Arabidopsis thaliana: one gene and its partners. The protein of the gene in region 1 interacts with the protein of each later gene in a biochemical or structural test. Each region holds a gene or a part of one and is shown in the gene's direction. Other genes may lie near its edges.

What was found. The genes of interacting proteins can lie anywhere in the genome.
Region 2: the proteins of AGL24 (region 1) and MRLK form a complex in vitro, tested with the Arabidopsis thaliana proteins (one study listed by BioGRID).
Region 3: the proteins of AGL24 (region 1) and SAP18 form a complex in vitro, tested with the Arabidopsis thaliana proteins (one study listed by BioGRID).

The regions. Positions count from the first base shown.
Region 1 is NC_003075.7:12,670,389-12,675,965, reverse strand, and holds AGL24 (AGAMOUS-like 24), read left to right. Parts: upstream 1-1,859; 5' UTR 1,860-2,049; intron 2,050-2,281; 5' UTR 2,282-2,320; coding exon 2,321-2,502; intron 2,503-3,216; coding exon 3,217-3,298; intron 3,299-3,565; coding exon 3,566-3,627; intron 3,628-4,093; coding exon 4,094-4,193; intron 4,194-4,304; coding exon 4,305-4,346; intron 4,347-4,430; coding exon 4,431-4,472; intron 4,473-4,571; coding exon 4,572-4,705; intron 4,706-4,787; coding exon 4,788-4,806; 3' UTR 4,807-5,069; downstream 5,070-5,577. Other genes in the region: AT4G24550 (Clathrin adaptor complexes medium subunit family protein), read right to left, coding at 33-93. UniProt on the Arabidopsis thaliana protein: Transcription activator that mediates floral transition in response to vernalization. Promotes inflorescence fate in apical meristems. Acts in a dosage-dependent manner. Probably involved in the transduction of RLK-mediated signaling (e.g. IMK3 pathway).
Region 2 is NC_003074.8:20,816,382-20,821,511, reverse strand, and holds MRLK (meristematic receptor-like kinase), read left to right. Parts: upstream 1-1,994; coding exon 1,995-2,725; coding exon of another isoform or gene 2,726-2,837; coding exon 2,838-3,651; coding exon of another isoform or gene 3,652-3,720; intron 3,721-3,809; coding exon of another isoform or gene 3,810-4,438; 3' UTR 4,439-4,591; downstream 4,592-5,130. UniProt on the Arabidopsis thaliana protein: Can phosphorylate AGL24.
Region 3 is NC_003071.7:18,798,989-18,803,036, reverse strand, and holds SAP18 (SIN3 associated polypeptide P18), read left to right. Parts: upstream 1-1,653; 5' UTR 1,654-1,713; coding exon 1,714-1,824; intron 1,825-1,938; coding exon 1,939-1,971; intron 1,972-2,083; coding exon 2,084-2,194; intron 2,195-2,436; coding exon 2,437-2,532; intron 2,533-2,929; coding exon 2,930-3,004; intron 3,005-3,123; coding exon 3,124-3,156; 3' UTR 3,157-3,509; downstream 3,510-4,048. UniProt on the Arabidopsis thaliana protein: Links the histone deacetylase complex to transcriptional repressors bound to chromatin. Involved in the tethering of the SIN3 complex to core histone proteins.

The DNA.
Region 1 (5,577 bases):
CAGAGAGGATCAGATCGAGAAAGAGAGCTTACAGTCACGGAAGACGATGTTATCTCCTCGCTGAGATAAGACGAAGAATTGGGAGATCATCATCGTTCCTTATAGCGGTGGATTCCGACTGTTTCACCGCGAGTTTGGTTAAGTCTACTGATCGCCGATCGGTCTCGTCTTTTTGTGTGTCTGGTGGTGAGGTGGTTCACGTTTTACCATTTGCCGTCGTTATCGTGAAGCTTCTTCATGAGACGGAGGGTTCTGTGTTTTTGTGAATTATGATTTCTTGTTCTTATATGGGCCTATTTTTAAGACATCAATATGGCCCAAATTTCGAACTTGTTATGAGTTTAAGGAAATAAGTAGTAAGTACTATAAATGATGGTTCGATCTCGGAGGAGAAAAAAAAAAACATTGTTTACGAGGAAGCAAAATGTGAGTTGATATAAAGGGTACAACACATAATTTATTTTTGGAAGTCAAAACTTTGAGGATTAAGCTGACAACGAAGGTTAGTGAAGACTTTCGGGATCGAGCAATCGGGAGATATACATGAGCCTAGAGGGCTGACAAGATGACCAAGCATTCCAAATGAAAGGCTTAAGATTTTTCTTTTTCTAAACTCAAGTAAGAAACACAAGATATATGAAAGGGTAACAAGGGTCAACAACAAGTCTAAGCTTTTTAAACGTGTTAGATGATTCTTCTTGAACACTATTACAATTACTGTTTAGTTTCACATTTATATGACCTTGGGAGTCTTCTAGCTCGTCCCAAATATATTTTCAACATATTACTATAAGATCCTAAAGACCAATAACATTGATCTACACCAAAAACTCTCACTTTCTGATTTTGCACTCGCTTTTTTTCCTCCCATAAACAAAACCAAAGGCTTACAATACTAAATCTGTCTCACATTCTTAGTGCTTATTTGTTTTAGTCATAAAGAACTTAATCTTATACAGATTGAAGTCTTAAAGTCATCTATATTACTTTTCACATGTATCATTATGAGATGGTACGTTTCCCACGAATTTTATCAGTTTAGTTTAATTTTCAGTTGTACTTTGGGAGAAAAAATTTACAAGATACTTGTCGGCCATGATATCACCCTAGAGTTACCGGAGTCCGGTGATATATCATTTCTAATTAGGGTTAAAACTTAAAAGGGTATAAATGGCTGATCAAACCCAAAAATAAAAGATAATGATGACGGTGGGAGACGAGTGATCTTATCAGGTGTCGCATCTAGCATATATAGGTGAAAGACTATAAAAAAGACATGAAATATTTAATAGACACAACTTTTGTAATAAACCAAAACCAAAAAGGTAGATGAACTGATGAACAGCATCTTCTAATTACGAATAAAAAAAGTAACCAAACTTTCTTTCCATTAGAATTGGTACGTAGTTCCTTGTGTATTGTGATTTCTTTCATTTTCCAATTATGTTTTTTTATTTTATCATGTTACATTTTTGATAGTGGGTAACTTTTGTATCATTTTATTTGACCTAGCCATATATAAATCTATTAACTTATACGGAGTAGTATTTCACGTCATTTATTTTTATTTTGTTTTTAGATGGGAAGTTATTCAAAACTAGACTAAAACAGTAAAACTAGGAAACCCGCTACTGAATAAAGTTACAATTCCACATTATTCCATGACAGACTAATTGAATTAGAAGGTTAGGTAAATTATTAAATCATAACTGTAGCAGTCTCTTCGTCTGGCAGCTCAGTCAGACAAAACACAAAGTGTGTTTATGTGTTATTTTTAATGATTATAGTTTGGGAAAAAGACATAATCAAAAGGGATACAAAACATATGGCCCATTGATAAGTATAGATCACTGTTTAGCTAAAAAAAGCAGACTCTTTTTTCCAATCTTGAACACAAACACAGTCACCATCTCTCTCTCTCTTTCTCTCTCACTCACACATTAGGGAGTAAACAGCTACCAGAAAAACCTTTTTTATCTTCTCACAAATTTAATAAAGTGGGTGCTGAGATTGAATAACGTAATCCAAGATCCTCCAACTCACAGAAAGGTAAAAGCTGTGAATCTGTGTTCTTTCTTCTTAAGCAAAGTGTTTGATGAATTCATCTAGTCCTGTCCATTCTTTTGCTTCTCATGGTTTATGGATCTGATCTCTCTTTCTCTCTCTCTCTAGCCATTAGGGTTTCCTAAGAATATTATATAAACTCTCTTTAGCTAACACCGTTCCAATTGGTTTCTTTCTTTGTTCTTGGTCTAAAATCTAAATGGTGTTATGGGTATAGGCAGATTCAAGAACAGTAGTGAAGGAGAGATCTGGTAAAATGGCGAGAGAGAAGATAAGGATAAAGAAGATTGATAACATAACAGCGAGACAAGTTACTTTCTCAAAGAGAAGAAGAGGAATCTTCAAGAAAGCCGATGAACTTTCAGTTCTTTGCGATGCTGATGTTGCTCTCATCATCTTCTCTGCCACCGGAAAGCTCTTCGAGTTCTCCAGCTCAAGGTATATTCTATCTTTTTGTTAGTAGTTGTCTTATTTTTTTCAATCCATGTTTGTGTTTTTGAGAATATGGTTGGATAAATATATTAAGATATGTATTTAAATGAGATTTTTATTTTCTCGTTTACTCTCTAAAGTTAATTATCAGTAGGCTCGGAGATCTCATGTACGGCATAATTTGATGACCTAAATTATTATACTTTAAAGTATAGGATTGATGTTTTATTACTTTTATGTATAACACATCATGTATTTAATTCCGTTTAACATAATATGGGTTTTTAACGTGTAATTTTTCAATCATTTTCATTTAGACTCATGGTTAAGATTTCTGTACTGGGAAATAAGAGAGCAGAATATTATAGTGTGATTTTTGTTAATTAGGAAAGCATATGTATATATGGATACATAGTACTTACCACAATTAGAATGAATTTCTTTTCCCTTTTTTCATTTGACTTTGTGTATTACAAAAGTCTTTGACACTGTCACTTGGTATGATTGGGGATTAATTCTTAACCACTCGTTTAGTTTATCTTGGGAAGCATTACCATAATTGGGAAACGAGTCATCTGTCTGTATCGTGATGGCTACTTCTGATTACTTTTCTTTTATTATAACCAAAAAGGCTTCTAATGTACTTAATTAATTTTACAAATGTAATATGGACGAAGGAAATGTTTATAAGAAAGATGGATTGTTTGTTGAAACGTGTAGAATGAGAGACATATTGGGAAGGTATAGTCTTCATGCAAGTAACATCAACAAATTGATGGATCCACCTTCTACTCATCTCCGGGTATTTTCGATATCACTTACTCTTTTTTTTTTTTGTGGATTTTAAACTCTCTGCTCTTTTTACCAAACCCTTCTCTTTTTATCAAACCCTTCTCTCTATAATATTATCCGATGTTCACTTTGTTACACGTGTTTGTTATAATTTTTAGCTGTAAGTCTAAATATAGAAACATTGAGTGGCATATAATCATTAATCTTGAAGCATCTAATTAATTGGTTTTACATATTAATAGCAGAATCCTGAAACTGTTGACTTTGCATCTAGCAGCTTGAGAATTGTAACCTCTCCAGACTAAGTAAGGAAGTCGAAGACAAAACCAAGCAGCTACGGTATGGCTCCATTGATATGTTATGCAGATAAACCTATTTTCATATAGGCTATAGCTGTAAGAGATCATCTATTTCATGTGTGTGGTTTTTTTTTTTATGTTTTTTCAATGATGTGTGCATGCTATTTTTAGGTTTTAGAATCTATTTCATGGAAATTGAAGATATTTCATTTCACGTGTAAGTTCGTCAAGTTGTGGCGTGTGTCTTGGAAATTGATGTTTTGTTTGTAGATTTTAAGAGCTACTTCTAAAATTTACAAGAGTTTTGTAATTTTCAATTATGGCCCATTATTCTCATTAATTCATTAAAAAAATTATATACATTACTATCTATATCTAGCATAGGTAGTTTTTTTTTTCTTTTTCTTTGGTAGACCTACTGAACAAATATCTGATATATCACTGACTGGATAAATATCTATAGAGATATTTTTGATAGAAATGAGTGTTAATTTAACGTAAAACAGGAAACTGAGAGGAGAGGATCTTGATGGATTGAACTTAGAAGAGTTGCAGCGGCTGGAGAAACTACTTGAATCCGGACTTAGCCGTGTGTCTGAAAAGAAGGTTTACTACTATACATAAACTAATAGCATGCATATTTTCCTTAACGTGGCATATAAATAATAAGCTGTACATATATAAAAGTTTGACTTTGTTGTTGTTATTGGTAAATAGGGCGAGTGTGTGATGAGCCAAATTTTCTCACTTGAGAAACGGGTTAGTAGTTAGTACATACAATTCGTATAACTAATGGATCATAAGCCTATCTATAGCTAGTGACTTTCTTAATAAGTGAAACAGGGATCGGAATTGGTGGATGAGAATAAGAGACTGAGGGATAAAGTACGGCTCTAAACCCTTATAGATATCATGGAATAACCTTAATCTATTTTTTTATGTATAAGAAAATATGATGAGGGAACGTATATTATATATCGGCAGCTAGAGACGTTGGAAAGGGCAAAACTGACGACGCTTAAAGAGGCTTTGGAGACAGAGTCGGTGACCACAAATGTGTCAAGCTACGACAGTGGAACTCCCCTTGAGGATGACTCCGACACTTCCCTGAAGCTTGGGTATAATTTGTTTAACTGAACATATTTCAAACTTTTTGTTGACATTTTGTATGTGGATGTTTACTAACTGTTTGTTGGTTAGGCTTCCATCTTGGGAATGAATCTGAGAGAGAGAAAGATCCAGCAGAGTTGACTTCGATGGAAGCCCACAAATATTAAGTCTACCTTTTCCCTTTCTTTTCTTTGAATAAGTGTTGAAAAAGAATTGAGATGGGAAGGATGAATTCTCATTGCATTGCAGAGAAGCAAGTTTCAGATATTGTACGTGTTATTGGTCTTTATAACTATTTTGCACCAAAGGGATTCTTCACATCACGGACAAATAATAATTTTAACACTAATGAAACAAGTAAATATAGTGAAACGATAGGTTTTCTATAGTGATTCTTTACATTAACAACAATGAAACAATAAATATAATATTGGAGAGGGGTGTGAAAGAACAAATATGTTAATTAATTTCTACAAATGTTTTCACCTCCTTTCTCGATTCATATAAAACAAAGGTAAGTCTTTGTTCCTTACCTTCACTCTCTAGAAAAGATTTTTTTGGCCAAAAATATGTATTCACGCAATCAGCAGAACAAAAACCTCGGAAGATCACGTCCAACGAAGGACCTTTAGGCTTAGGGGTAACGTCATGTCTTCCACTTTTGAGCAACCTTGCAAACCATCAACGAAGTCTTTCATGTGCATTTTATTCAACAATGGAGTTTTGTAAGAAGGAACTATTGAAAAAACTAATGGAACTAAGGTGATCTAGATAGTGAACTTAGCTTTTCCCAAACTTTTCTTTATGCACTACAAAATTTCAATAAATTAAGTTTTTAGAAAAGGTTCTCAAGTGAAGTTAGAATTTTATAACTCAAACA
Region 2 (5,130 bases), on another chromosome or scaffold:
AGTGTTCATAGCTGTTGCATTGATGGTCTAGTGGCGAGTTAGTATATATTAATCTAATTTAGTGTTAATAAGTCTCAACTGTGGTTATCTCCTATATTTTCTCATTGGTTTGTGATTTGAAGTAAGTAACTTTCATGCTTTTATGGATGGAATATAGTCATATATATGACTGTCTTGCCTTTCCTAACTAGTATCAATCTGCTAATTTGCTCATAGTTCCCACTTTGTGAAATATAAAACTTATTAACAGATTTGGTGGACATGAGGATGATCCGATTATAAAAGTAGGGCATTGTTAGTTGGTTTATTGTTCACAAAATTAGGCTTTGCTTTGGGGTTCGAGGTTGATGGTTTGAGTACAGTTTAACTTTGAGAGATTGTTTGGACTTTATTTTTCCCGGGGCTAATATCTAATTGCTTTAGCAACAGCTTCATCAGCATGATAAAATTCGCCTTCGGAAACCATCTTGTTTCGATTCCTCCAAACCTTATGGCTTGAGAATTACTAATCTTGTGATATAGTATTTACAATACATGACATACCATTTGAGTTCAAGGTAAGAGTGTCTCCAGAATTTTGTTCTTGCAACCACAGGAGTGATATGTCATTATAGACTTCATTATAGAGATGACTTGTTCATAAGAGAAATGGTCAGGTTTGGTATATGTTCAGAAAATGTGTTTGAAGTGAAAAATGTATATGCAAGAATTTTTAAAAAAATTGAAGTTCAAAACCTCCACATCTAGTATCCAAACACTTTAAACACGTGTACCAGCCTTATGTTAAAAAGGGCAAAGATAGATCAGCGTCAACATAATAACCTCGTACGGCACAACCCTTCCCTTCTTTTCTTTGTTTAATTGTAAGCCAGGAAAAGTTTCACTTTCAAGTTTCAAAGTTGTGTGTCTGCTTCTTCTGAAACTGTACTACTTTATTTACTTTCCATTTGCGAGGGCATTTTAGTCAGTAACCATAAATAAAATGGCTTGTTCATTTCCTTTGGGCTTCTTTACAAGATCTAGTGATCCAATGGCTTGTAGGTCCCACAAATATAGCCGTTAGGAGGAGAAGTGAAGGAGCGGAGCGGTTTGTTGTTCGTGTGTCGTGTCCATTAGGCAGCTCCGACGCATTAAACGAAGCTGGTCTGCAAGAATAAAATAAAATTATGTTGTCTGCTTTATTTGTTACTTTATTCGGAAGAACAATACTTTGATCTCTTTCCTTAGATTTGGAATAAAATTAAATAATGTTGACCTCACATACAAACAACTAAGAGCTATAAAAAAAAGATTCCAAGAAAACAACTGGTAAATTTGAATGTAAGTAATATATTACTGGTTCAAATTCGAAGCATGATAGTACTCTTGACAAATCAAAATTTTTGTTTTTGTAATACTAGTAAATTTTTCATCTTTGTCAGAACCAACATGTTTGTATTGTGATTAATGATTTTTTATCGTTTTTTGATACTTAGTTAACAAAATCTACCTTTATGTATTAGTAATTCCAAATTCCCAATGAAATCCATATACTAGTATTTTACTAAACACTGTTAAACAAAATGACATGAGCAAGAGCAACCCATCGAACAAAACAAAGTGTTTTCAAAACACTATTAAACACAAGTAACTAATATGAATAAATGAAACTAGCCGTTGGAGCCCATTTACTAATATTAGGCCAGAACAGAGAGATCCACTGTTCCCACCCCCCAACCTCTTATTACCATCACCTGATCTTTGTCTCCCTTCTCTCTCTTTCTCTCACTTCTCTCTCACTACAAGATAAAAGAACACAGACCAAGATTCTCTCTCTCTCTCTAAGATGGTCACGTGCTCTGTTGTTCTTTTCCAACGAAACCCATCTCTCTCTTTACAAAACTCTTTCAAATCCAAAATCTTTCCCTGTTCCATCCTCATCACAACTACTATTCACCCATAAAGAACTCCAATTATCTTCTTTCTTCTCTCTTCTTCTTCTTCTTCATCTTCTAATGGAGTTTATCACCCAAAACCAAGCTATTACTTCTCTGAGTATGATCAACACCGACATTGATCAACCTAAGGCTTCACTTCGAAGCCGATTTCTCCTTCATCTAATCATATGCCTCCTCTTCTTCGTCCCTCCCTGCTCAAGCCAAGCCTGGGATGGTGTAGTGATAACACAAGCTGATTACCAAGGTCTTCAAGCAGTTAAACAAGAACTGATTGATCCAAGAGGCTTCTTGAGAAGCTGGAACGGTTCTGGATTCAGTGCTTGCTCTGGAGGCTGGGCTGGAATAAAATGTGCTCAAGGTCAAGTCATCGTCATTCAACTTCCATGGAAGAGTCTTGGAGGTAGAATCTCTGAGAAAATCGGACAGCTTCAAGCTCTTCGTAAGCTTAGTCTTCATGACAACAACCTTGGAGGTTCGATTCCAATGTCATTGGGACTCATTCCTAATCTTAGAGGAGTTCAGCTTTTCAACAACCGTCTCACTGGCTCAATCCCTGCTTCTCTCGGTGTATCACATTTCCTTCAAACGCTTGATCTCAGCAATAACTTGCTCTCTGAGATTATTCCACCGAATCTTGCTGACTCTTCTAAGCTTCTTAGGCTTAATCTCAGCTTTAATTCACTGTCTGGTCAAATCCCAGTGAGTCTCTCTCGGTCTTCTTCCCTTCAGTTTCTTGCTCTTGACCATAACAACCTCTCTGGTCCAATCTTAGATACTTGGGGTAGTAAGTCTCTTAATCTCCGTGTCTTATCTCTTGATCACAACTCTCTCTCTGGTCCGTTCCCATTTTCACTCTGCAACTTAACTCAGCTGCAAGATTTTTTCCTTTAGTCATAATAGGATCCGTGGAACCCTACCCTCTGAGCTAAGCAAACTCACTAAGCTTAGAAAAATGGATATTAGTGGTAACAGTGTTAGTGGCCATATCCCTGAAACCCTAGGGAACATTTCTTCTCTTATACATTTGGATTTGTCTCAAAACAAACTCACCGGAGAGATTCCTATTTCGATTTCTGACCTGGAAAGCCTGAACTTCTTCAATGTCTCTTATAACAACTTATCTGGTCCTGTTCCTACTCTCTTGTCCCAAAAGTTCAATTCCTCTTCTTTTGTCGGGAACTCACTGCTTTGCGGATACAGCGTTTCGACACCATGTCCTACTCTTCCTTCACCGTCTCCTGAAAAAGAAAGGAAACCATCCCACAGGAATCTGAGTACCAAAGACATCATCCTCATTGCGTCTGGAGCACTCCTCATAGTTATGCTTATCCTTGTTTGTGTTCTATGTTGCTTGCTGAGGAAGAAAGCCAATGAAACCAAAGCCAAGGGCGGAGAGGCTGGACCTGGAGCTGTAGCCGCAAAGACTGAGAAAGGAGGGGAAGCTGAAGCTGGAGGTGAAACTGGAGGGAAGCTGGTTCATTTTGATGGACCAATGGCGTTTACTGCAGATGATCTTTTGTGTGCAACAGCAGAGATAATGGGGAAAAGCACTTATGGGACTGTGTACAAAGCTACACTTGAAGATGGAAGTCAAGTAGCAGTGAAGAGATTGAGAGAAAGATCACCAAAAGTCAAAAAGAGTTTGAGAATGAGATTAACGTCTTGGGAAGAATCCGGCATCCGAATCTCCTTGCACTCAGAGCTTATTACTTAGGCCCTAAAGGAGAGAAGCTTGTCGTCTTCGATTACATGTCTAGAGGAAGCCTTGCCACGTTTCTCCATGGTAAGTTTGATACTAAAGTCTTAAAGTTAAAGACAATTTTGCTTTACAAGTACCATTTTGTAACTCTGTTTTCATATTTGAAATTGCAGCAAGAGGACCAGATGTACATATCAATTGGCCTACAAGGATGAGCTTAATAAAGGGAATGGCTCGAGGCTTGTTCTACCTTCACACACACGCAAATATCATCCACGGAAACTTAACATCAAGCAATGTGCTTTTGGATGAGAACATAACCGCGAAGATCTCAGATTACGGTCTCTCAAGGCTAATGACAGCAGCAGCAGGATCCAGCGTGATTGCAACAGCTGGTGCGTTAGGTTACAGAGCACCTGAGCTCTCTAAGCTGAAGAAAGCCAACACGAAAACCGATGTGTACAGCCTCGGTGTGATCATATTGGAACTGTTGACTGGGAAATCTCCGAGTGAGGCCTTAAACGGTGTGGATTTGCCTCAATGGGTTGCTACTGCGGTTAAAGAAGAGTGGACTAATGAGGTTTTTGATTTGGAGCTGTTGAATGATGTGAACACAATGGGTGATGAGATTTTGAATACACTGAAACTGGCTTTACATTGTGTTGATGCTACACCATCAACAAGACCTGAAGCTCAACAAGTGATGACACAACTTGGAGAGATTAGACCGGAAGAGACAACAGCAACAACATCAGAACCGTTGATTGATGTCCCTGAAGCTTCTGCTTCCACAAGTCAATAGAAAGAGTGGAGAATTTTTGTAGTGTGGAAATGTTGCAGAGTAGTAGTTGATTTCTTTTGCAATTCTTTAATTCTTCCAAGTTGTTTTTTTGTTCTTTGTTTGTTTCAGTGTTTTGAACCATTTCTTCATCAGTTTATGTTTGTAAATAGTGTCTCTTTCATCAAGTAGTCTCTGTCTTTTGAGCACAGTGAAAAATTTGGGTTTTGAAGAAGGTACTACTAGAAATGAGTTTCACCATCTACAGTAAAAATTTAGGTAAGTTTTAAAGCACCATTTACACCATATACTGAAAAGGAGAGGACATTGAGAAGATTCAAACAACTAACCAAAGTCCAACAAGAATGAAAGTTTAGGTACCTATGTAAAGAATGAAAATGCTCACACATTTGCCAAAACATAAACACATAAGAGTACAAAGATACGCACTAGCCAGAAAAATGTAAACCAGTATATAATCAAAGTTAAAGCAACAGCCAACAAGTGCCAAGATTTCATTTTTAGAAGATGAAATGAAATGGATTTCAAAGATGGAATTCTTTTAATCTCAGGAGAGAAATTTGAGAATTTATAATTTTTCATGACTAATCAAATTGTTAAGGTTCGAGATTATTTAAATCCAATAAAATTTATATTAAAAAAAATTAGTATCACTCATAATAAATACAAGTATTAATAATTGTACAATTTAGAGA
Region 3 (4,048 bases), on another chromosome or scaffold:
AAATAGGGGACATTTCACTTTTTCTACAAATTTTTTCGACAGTTCAATGGAAAACGTCAAGTTAATTTTCGGCTAATGAGATATTGAAGCTCAATGGAGTTAATTAACAGATCATAAATGAAACACGTGTAAGGGAATCTGCTACTCTTTTGTATTGTAGGCCTTAACTTTTTTTATCGATCAGTCGGCGTGTCAGTGTCTTGTGGTCTTAAGGAAAAATATCCGAACCTCATCATCTCCACGAGTTAAATAGTATATATCCTTCTTCTTCGTACGAGGTTAAGACAACTAAAATCTTAAAAAATAAATTAAATACTTAAAATCAATGAATCGTTTCATATATATACATATATATATATATAATATTTATGTGCTTCGATTAATTAGTACATGTAACTATTTTACGAACGTTTAGTTATCGCCCATTTGCACATAAGTTTACAAACAAACATAGAATCATCACATTATATATTGTGCAAAATTCAAATACAAGATGATAAATCTTTACATCTTCAACTACAAACACGATATATGATATCAAGTTATCAACCAATCAAGAGCTGTAATCTAGTAGTTTTTTATTTTTTGTTAAAAAGTTGTAATCTAGTAGTTTCATTTTCATCTATCTTTTTACATTATAGAAAAATGAAAGTATAGAAAAATGAAAGCTTATCAAAAGTTAGTGGGCTACATCTACATTATATTAAAAAAATATATATATATATATATATATATATATATATATATATATATATCAATAACTAGATCGGACAGTGACCAAACCAATCTCGTTGTGTCCAATCCAAGAAAATAACAAAGGAAAGTCGTACGTTTGATGATATAAAAACCTTTTTATGTTTGGACGAGTTTCATAGAACATGGTGGACAAAATTATAGTACTATATACTATTTAGTATCTCCTTTTGAAAAACAGTAAGCCATGTAAATGAATTTGTACAATTAACAGCTATTTAAAAAGCAAAAAAAAAAACAGTGAATGTTTATTTACAAAGTTCCGAAGGGAAGAGGTTGTGGTAGTGGTTAGGGGCATGCCAAATACGGAAAGGGAGGCAAAGAAGATCGGGTAGTCTTCATAATTTCATACTTTTCACTTTGTAGTAATCTTTCCTTTTCTTTTTTAATTTCATCACCAATGTTTCTTTGTTCAAATTCATATCCACACACTCTTTTGGAAATGGCACTGCAGCTTCATGTGAGGTGTGGGGTCATTGCGCCTTATCGTCTGAAAATGTTACCCTCTTGACATTCAATGACCCCATTTTCTTATTTTCCATAATTTCTTTTACCATTTTACTATAACAAGAATGATGCAAAAGGAATAGGCAAAAAACAGCATATTATTTTTTAGTGGGATCCTAGTAGGTCACTTGAAGTCTCTATGCATTGATTATGGATTGCTATATTTGTCTCTCTTTTTATTTTTGAATTTCGAGTTAGTGATCTTCAATGTGTGTTTCAAATATAGATATTCAAAGGTTATAAACCAAGAAAAGAAAAAGTAGAAAAAAAATATATATATTTCAAATCTTTTAAACGGACCATTGGCAACAAAATCTATAAACGAGTTAGGCCCAAATTGTTGTACAAAAGGCCCATTAGGTTAAATAAGTATGGGCCTAAAGCGGTCCGATCAATCTCTGTGCCATTACCTTCTTCTTCGTCGTAGTGATTTCTCTCGAGAGAAAAAGAGAGATGGCTGAAGCAGCGAGAAGACAAGGTGGTGGGAGACCATTACCGCCACCTCCGAGAGGCGTTAACCAACAACCTCCTCGCCCTAAACCTGAACCTGTCGATCGTGAAAAGGTTTGTGTTCGATTTCATTATTCGCGAATCGTTGAATCATCATCCTTTAGGGTTTCCTTTTAGGGTTTTTATCTGTACTTATTGATTTCTTTATCTTTAACCTTCGAATCGCAGACATGTCCCCTTCTTCTTCGTGTTTTCACCAAGGTACTCTTCTTCACTGATTTTACTGAATGCAAGTTTAATCACTGGAGAACTGGCTATGTTTGTTTCTGAATTAGTCTGCAAATTAGGATTAATTGGGTAGGTTTGATTGCAGAGTGGTGGTCATCATACTAGTGAAGATTATGCTGTGAGAGGCAAAGAACCAAAGGATGAAGTTCAAATCTACACTTGGAAAGATGCCAGTCTTCGCGAGCTAACAGATTTGGTATGTCTTCTACCATTAAGATTTAGATTGGGTGCTTGAGACAACAATAAAGCAGCTTGCTTTGAGAACTTTTCTTGTGTAGTTTTGTTTTTACAAATATGACGGATTTTCAGCTAAAGGACTCACTTTGTTTTTACTGCTGAGGAGTGCTGATTAAAATTCACATTTTTGGGGGTTTTGTGTAACGTACAAAGGTGATGCTTCTCTCATAAGCACAATGTTAAATCACGTTTTCATTGCAGGTTAAAGAAGTTTCTGTAGCAGCTAGGAGAAGGAATGCTAGATTGTCTTTTGCGTTTGTTTATCCTAACAATAAAGGTGGCTATAATGTGAGAGAGGTAAGATTACGTTCTCTTCACAATCTTGATCAGATAAGTTGTCACCGTAGCCACGCATGATCATTGATGCATTCTAGAGTTTCTGTGTTTTCCCCTGCCACACCTCTTTGTCGCACATGTAGCTACCAGTATCATTCGGAGTTTTGTCAACAATGTTTCTCTTGTACATGTCTTTCGCTTATTGACAACTCATCTTCTCATGGTTATTGATTTTTGAAACTTCAGAGAGACCACATAATCATAGCTAGTTACTACAGAATGAAGTAATTTGATTGAATGGATGCTTTCAGATTCAATCGTTATGGCTTTACTTGTTCTCTTGTGATGTTTGCATATGTATTCAAGAACCCATGAGAAGAGTCTGATCTTGTGGTGTTGTTTCTGTTAATTGATAAAGGTTGGGGAGACGATGGCTTATCCAAACCGAAAACAACCAGATGACAGTAAAACGCTTTCCGAACTTCCGTTTGAGGTAAGTTTTTTACATGCATAGAAGATCATCTTGTATGATGATTATATAGTCTATAACATTAATTTTTCATATTCTGTTACCCAAGTAGCTATAACTGAAGTTGATCAATCTATCTGCAGATTGGAGATTATCTGGATGTGGCAATTTACTAGGAGGTTTCTGTTTCTTGTTAAGTGGGATTTGGGTGCGTGCACAATGGAAGAAGTACACATTCATATGGTTGTATCATCTTAAACTTCGTTTAGACATGTTTGTATTTTTTGGATCTAGTCTATGTACTAATGTCTAATGGTTTAGTATGTTATCCTGCTTTTTTTGTTTAACGTGTTTTCTTTTCTAAAGAACCAAAAAAAAGATGGAAGAACTCAAGCCATTTTATATACAAAAAGGTATAAATTTAGACTATCTATAGACTATAGCACATGAATATGTATTAAATTAAGATTTCAACCCAATTTACTTTTATTAGTAGAATTAATACTCGCACTTAACGTCGGAGAAGTAGCTGAGAAAAAGAAATCGTGAAAAAAATGAGAGAAGAGGATGAATTTAGACAACATTAATCATCAAAACTATAGTGATAAACATAGAAGAGTGGGCAATGCATTTCAAATATTCTCAAAAATAAAGATATAGTTATGGAATTATACAAAAGTTTAATAGCAAAATATGAACGTTGCGTTTACGATTCCCTATATTGTTCCAACGTTAAGTTTGATTAGACTTGAAAGTTGAAAGTATAATAAAATTTAAACGTTGAAACGGTAACATTTTATTACCGTTAGAAGATAATATTTTATTACAAAAATTCAGATAAATGGCTCTCTATAAATACTCCCATCTTGGGTCAGAAATCGGAATCCTCTTCATTGGTTCATATTTTACAAAATGTCGAGAAACAATCTGTTTTTATTTCTTAATTCTGGTTCTTCCACTTGAGTCAAGACCTCATTCAAACAAACATAAAGCATCATCCTTACAAGGTAAAATACTCTGGTCTAAATCCTCTAGTGTTTACCGTTAAATGGTTTTTTTTTTTTTCAT